2 linked regions of the Tribolium castaneum genome follow. The protein of the gene in region 2 binds, or shares a complex with, the protein of the main gene of each other region. Links are inferred from orthologs where the notes say so. Each region holds a gene or a part of one and is shown on either strand. Other genes may lie near its edges.

Region 1 (2,901 bases), on a different chromosome or scaffold from region 2:
GGCCGTGGCTGCTGAAAGAAAACAATCACCGGTCACACGTTCCCCCACTCCTGAAAAAACAAACGATAATCACAACACACAGGTAGACGCAAAATCTCAAGGTCAGTAATTGAAACAAAACACTATCGGCACAATTACACGTGCCTACTTTGTGTTTTTGTTAATGTGGTGTTCACAGGACGGAAACAAACGACGAAAAAACGTGTTGTTCGTTCATCTTCGTCGAGTTCGTCGCGAAGTCGGTCGACAACACCCGAAAAAAGCCGACGTAAAAAACGCTACTCTCGAAGAAGTAGGTCGAGGTCAAGGTCGTCTTCGTATCGGAGGCGGAGGTCGAGGTCCAGGTCCAGGTCCCACCGGCGCAGCCGACGGTCAAGGTCACGGAGTGGTGGTAGGGGTAAGAGGTCGCGCCGGCGCTGAAGTGTTTCGATTTTGTTTTGTTTTATGTATATAAGTGTCTTCCTAGCAATAATTATTAAAGTGTTTAGTTGAGGTTTTAAGTGAATGTAACGATTTTCATTTGCTGAATAAATATCTGCGAGCCTTATTTATTGTTTTATTGAGTGTCGGTAACCGACAGTTTTATAAATAGTTTTGCACCTTAATTATTACAATTTTACTTGCCATATCTCTGTTCACACTTATTAAACCGATATAACAAATGAATAAAAGTCTCAAGTGTGATGTTGTGGTGCGTTTGCAAGGTAAGAAATTCAGTCACTCGAATTTGCCAGGGTGGGTAACCGTACAAACTGAAAGTTTTGCCACAACACACCCCCAAGTCGGGGTCAGGGAACTCAAACTGTTTTAAAAGTTCAGTTTCAAACTGTAACAAATCACTGTTGGCAGCACTGGCGAGTGTTTTCGTAACGTTGGCTATGGTTCCACGGCCGTCTTCCTCCCCCAACAGTTTGACGTGAATTTTGCGCCCTTTGTAGCCATTTTTATGGACAAAGTCAGGCCGGCTGTGCCAAATCACGTGATCCTCTTCATTTTTTTTCTCTTCGACAAGTTGACGTAACTTGTCTTCGCATTGCCGTAACGACCCTAAAACCGACCTTTGTGCTTATCAACTAACTGAGATAACAATATCGAACCTTTATAATCGTAGAAACTGATAAATGTGATCCGAGCCGACAAACACCACAAAATCAAGTTGGCCAAGTCTTTCACAGCCGGCTCTTCGTTGCCAAGCAACACGGTTAGATGTGTAGGGACTTTGGTGATTTTTTTGGGGCGGCTGTCGATCTCGTGACACAGAAAAATGAGGAGTTTCTGACGAAAAATTGATGCAATTATTTCGTAAATTGTGTAAATCACGTTCAAGGTTAGGTAACACGCGCGGTGGATCACAGACGGGGACTTTTGGTCCATTTTTACACAGATTTTTATTCACATAATAGCACGTTTTAAGGATTTTTTTAAATCTCAGTGAGTGCGAGATTAAAGAACATGAGACACGGTGTCATAAAAAGTGCCCCACCACTTTTTGACGTTTGGTTTGACAGGTGGAGTGGGTGGTGGCAACACTGACGTCACGATTTAATCAAATGGAACAAAAAAATTCAAAAATTACGACCCATATTATTTTATTTAAGTGCGCTTTTGTTTCATTTTGCATTTTTACGACCGCAATTATCAATTAATTTACATGAAGTTGATGATGGGGAGAACAGAAATCTGTAACGCACAATTCCTGCTTTACCGACACCAATAATAAAAGGAATAAAAAACTTTATTTCATGAAAAATGTATTCCTTCACTATTAAAAGCATGCAATAACACCATAAAATCATCAATGTCCATTGTGCGGGCCCGCTTTTGGTCCCCTTCTACTTGTTTCAAGACTTGCTCCACTTTTTCCTTAATATTAAAACCGGGGGGTATTTCTTTATTATTAACACTACAAAACGACTTGTAATTCTTCTCAAGCGTTGCCAAGACCACCGATTGTCTAAAAGCAGCTCCCAAAGTTTTATTTTTCCGCGAAAATGCGATTCTTGTAAGTCCATCCCACTCCGTGTAAGAAATAGGTGGCGGTGGATTCCTTGGTTCAATTCTAACCACAGCCGACTCAACCTTAAACAATACCAATGTTGCCACCCCAATTTGCCAATTAATACCAACCTTTGGTGGGGGCCTAAAATTATTTTTCCCCACTTTCATCAACATATCAACACGGGCCAGAAGCTGCGTGTTGATAGACAACCGACAGTAGAGCTTGTCTCCAGGGACGGCAACTAGCCGATCGGCAAATTCCTTTTGAAACATTAAAACAGCACACCGAAAAAACGGACGGTGCAAAAGTAGCTTAAACACTAAAGGTGACGAGATTTGATAAGGGATATTAGCCACGCAAACGCTAAAAAAGGGCAATTCTGTCTTCAAAACGTCCCCAATCAGGATTTGGAGTTTGGACTTGAAAGGGCTATTCTGGACCCTTTTTTGCAATTCTGCCACCAGTCGATGGTCAATTTCACACGCGACAACCTGTTTAACACTTTCGAGGAGCTTTAAAGTCAAGTTTCCGGTCCCAGGGCCTATTTCAAGGACGGTGTCGGAGGGCTTAAGGGCCGCCTTGTCCAACATTGAGGTTATGACAAGGGGGTTCTTGAGGATGTGCTGACCGAAGGACTTGTTGAATGTGATGCCTTGTTTGGCCACAGCGGCGTGAATACGCGATTTTTTCTCCGGTTTCACTTTTGGCATTTTGAGGTTACTGTGACACTGACATGTGGTCACACAAATTAAACTTTAAAATTGCACTCAAGAGACACAAAGGGTACTCCAAATTATGTCACTAAATGTATTCAAAACGTTCAAAAATCAAAATATGGGTTTATTCAGGAATTTTAGCATTTATTTGATCATGATGAGGCAACTAGCAATACGCCAATTTGT
Region 2 (2,973 bases):
TATAAAAAGTAAAATGAGAGAACCGTAAATTATTATTAACGCGGATCAACATAACAATAAATGCACAGAAACGTAATCATTAGAAACGCACATTGAGAGAAAATTATCAAGACAGAATGTGTCAATTATTTTTTTAAATAAGATTGATAAAATTGTAAAATAGTTATTAACTTATTAATGATAATTCTTTTATTGGAAGTATAAATTACATTAGCTATTATTCTTTTAGAGTGCATAAATAAGTTTATATTAGTTAATTTTGAGAGAAAATGCGACGTTGCCGTTTTTATAGTTTTGAAACAGCTAATAAATTGTTACACTGTGCAAGAAAACATTTTACTGTCGGAGCTTATTTCCGAATTGGAAACTTATTAAATGGAGAATAAATGGTGTTTAAATGCTTGTCATTAATTAATTCTACAAAACGACATTTCTGATAATACATGGAAAATTCACAGACGACTAGATGAGAATAATTGAAAAACATATTGTACTATTTTGTACTACAGTTTGTACTATAATGACAAAATATAACAGTAAATCCTGAAAACTCAAATGTAAAACAAACTATAAAATGTTTATTTATTTCATTTTTAGCTATTTTATTGTAGACTAATAAGACCGATTACATTTTAGAATGTTTTTTTATGATCCTTTTTAAAAAATATAGCGATTAAACTATGGTTACATGATTCTATCAAAAATATATAGGAAATAACTTATAGAAAAAAAAGACCCCATTATAGCAAGTACCATTCGTCAAAATTATAATGAAAATATTAATAATATGTGTTACTAATAATGACATTTGTTGATTTTAGTAATGATTTCGATAGCTTGTTTTGAAATTGTAAGAAGAAAATAAAAAAATTATTAATCAGTATTTTATTTGTTTTAGATATTATGCTATTGTGATAAAAATGGCATCAGACCAAATTTTTTATATTTACAAGTCACTTTTTAATTTTTATTCACAATTTCCATTTTTATTTTAAATTTTTTAATTTATTTTATAAATATAATTGTAAATATGAATATAAATATAAAATATAATTATAAATAAATAAATAATAATTTTTTTTTGGATCAATACTGTTCTGTTTTTAATATTTTTGTTTATGATGTCTCTAGATTTGACAGATTCTGCCTGTGAATGTTTCTGGAGATAGACTCTTTTGTCAGTGTTTTCTGTTGATGACTTCTAGACGTGATTTACAATAATACTACAATAATCACACAAAAAATCAAAACATACAGAAACATCAATTTTCTTGTGTCACGCGCTATTGTGTAATAATTATTAGTCTATTTTTTCTAATAAATAATCGGAATTTTGGCAGTTTGTTATCACGTGACCGGTGGCTAGAGTTACATAACATGGGCCACAATTTCGTCAAAATCATTAAAATTATCAACGGAAAGTGTAAAAATTGTTAAAAACAAGTATTTCGTAATATATTAAGTCGTAAATGACCCCCTGCGAATCGCTGATTAAGAAGGTCAGGTCAATCCGTAGTCACTTCCGACCACCTGTCACCCTTTGAGGTTATATTGTCATGTCGTGGATTGTGAGCTCCTCCCTGACTTATTTCCAGCGTTTTTGCGTGAATGTGATAAAATGCGGTCCCATTCCGCGGCACATCGCCTTCATAATGGACGGCAACCGGCGCTACGCCACCAAAACCAAAGTCGAAAAGGCCGAAGGCCACATCAAAGGTTTCGATAAACTGGCGGAGACCCTGCAATGGTGTCTCGAATTGGGGGTCAAGGAAGTGACCGTCTACGCCTTCAGTATCGAGAATTTTAAGCGGAGTCGCGAGGAAGTCGATACTTTGATGAAACTAGCGACGGAAAAGTTCCGACAATTGCTGGACGAAAAAGAGAAGATTATGAGCGAGGGGGTGTGCATTCGGATTATTGGCAACTTGGGGCTGCTTTCCCCCGAGTTGCGGAAACTAGTAGCGGAAGCTGAGTTAATGACGAAGGACAACAACAAGGCGTTTCTCAACGTGGCTTTTTCGTACACTTCTAGGGACGAAATTTTTAATACGGTGCAAAGTATAGTCAAGGGGGTGCAAGACGAGGCGTTGGACGTGGAGGACATTGACGAAGACTTGATCTCGGGGGCCCTGTATACGAGTTGTAGCCCTGACCCCGACCTGATAGTGCGCACTTCAGGGGAAGTGCGATTCAGTGATTTCCTCTTGTGGCAAATTTCAAACAGTTTTATCAGTTTTACAAAAGTTTTGTGGCCGGAATTTTGCATTTGGCACTTGCTGGCGTGCATTTTTTACTACCAAAGGTCTTACAACGACTTACAACAAAAAAAAGCCCGTGTGACAAGCGAGCGGGCCCAGAAGTTTTTACACCAATTGCAACAGCAAAAAATTACGCAACTGAAAAGTTACACATGAATAAATTATTTCGTTATTATTTAATAGTTTCATTTCCACGTGACTAATTATCTCAAATATAATATAAACAAACCGATAATAAGCCGTCTCGTGTCAGTCGCTCGCTAGACTTTGAACCGAAAATGTCTGTCATCCGCAAAATAATCAGCACGAACAAGGCCCCAAAACCGGTGGCCCCTTACAAGTAAGTTAAATTATTAAAGTCAGGGAAAAATTAACACAAAATTCCAGCCAGGCCGTCCTCTTGGATAAAACCTTGTACGTGTCGGGGGTTTTGGGGTTGAATAAAGACACCATGAAGCTGGTGGATGGGGGCGCGGGGGCTGAGGCCCGCCAAGCCTTGCAATCCCTCGGCCACATCCTGGAAGAAGCCGGTTCTTCCTTCGAAAAGGTGGCAAAAACCACAATCTTCCTCAATAACATTGATGATTTCGGGGCTGTTAACGACGTTTACAAAGACTTCTTTACCAAGAATCACCCAGCGAGGTCTACTTTCCAGGTCGGCAAATTGCCAATGGGGGCCAAAGTCGAGATCGAAGTCATCGCAGCCGTGGGGGAT

Evidence for each region. Proteins that work in one complex are often made in the same cells at the same time.
Region 1: the proteins of Dhdds (region 2) and Tango14 are in contact, whole or in part, in a crystal structure (PDB 7PAX), measured with the Homo sapiens proteins. The link is inferred for Tribolium castaneum from reciprocal best matches to the Homo sapiens genes DHDDS and NUS1. Residues at the interface, in NP_995583.1 of Homo sapiens: Arg37, Arg38, Glu81, Asn82, Lys84, Arg85, Arg159, His160, Ile162, Ser163, Val166, Arg167, Met169, Ala170, Trp171, Val173, Glu174, Pro180, Ser181, Ile183, Ser184, Glu185, Leu188, His199, Glu209, Val210, Arg211, Leu212, Ser213, Asp214; in NP_612468.1 of Homo sapiens: His137, Gln138, Pro193, Glu194, Lys197, Ala198, Ile200, Val201, Ala204, Gln205, Phe207, Cys208, Gln209, Val211, Ala212, Arg217, Pro218, Thr219, Leu221, Asp222, Val223, Leu226, Asp237, Pro246, Val247, Asp248, Ser249, Thr250, Leu251, Gly252.

Annotation. Positions count from the first base shown.
Region 1 is NC_087400.1:4,145,770-4,148,670, forward strand, and holds Tango14 (dehydrodolichyl diphosphate synthase complex subunit Nus1), read right to left. Parts: upstream 1,521-2,901; 5' UTR 1,375-1,520; coding exon 1,098-1,374; intron 1,048-1,097; coding exon 617-1,047; 3' UTR 543-616; downstream 1-542. Other genes in the region: arginine/serine-rich protein PNISR, read left to right, coding at 1-101, 179-420; probable dimethyladenosine transferase, read right to left, coding at 1,741-2,079, 2,128-2,709. UniProt on the Homo sapiens protein: With DHDDS, forms the dehydrodolichyl diphosphate synthase (DDS) complex, an essential component of the dolichol monophosphate (Dol-P) biosynthetic machinery.
Region 2 is NC_087399.1:8,505,799-8,508,771, reverse strand, and holds Dhdds (dehydrodolichyl diphosphate synthase complex subunit DHDDS), read left to right. Parts: upstream 1-1,305; 5' UTR 1,306-1,556; coding exon 1,557-2,414; 3' UTR 2,415-2,433; downstream 2,434-2,973. Other genes in the region: rutC family protein UK114, read left to right, coding at 2,537-2,598, 2,646-2,973. UniProt on the Homo sapiens protein: With NUS1, forms the dehydrodolichyl diphosphate synthase (DDS) complex, an essential component of the dolichol monophosphate (Dol-P) biosynthetic machinery.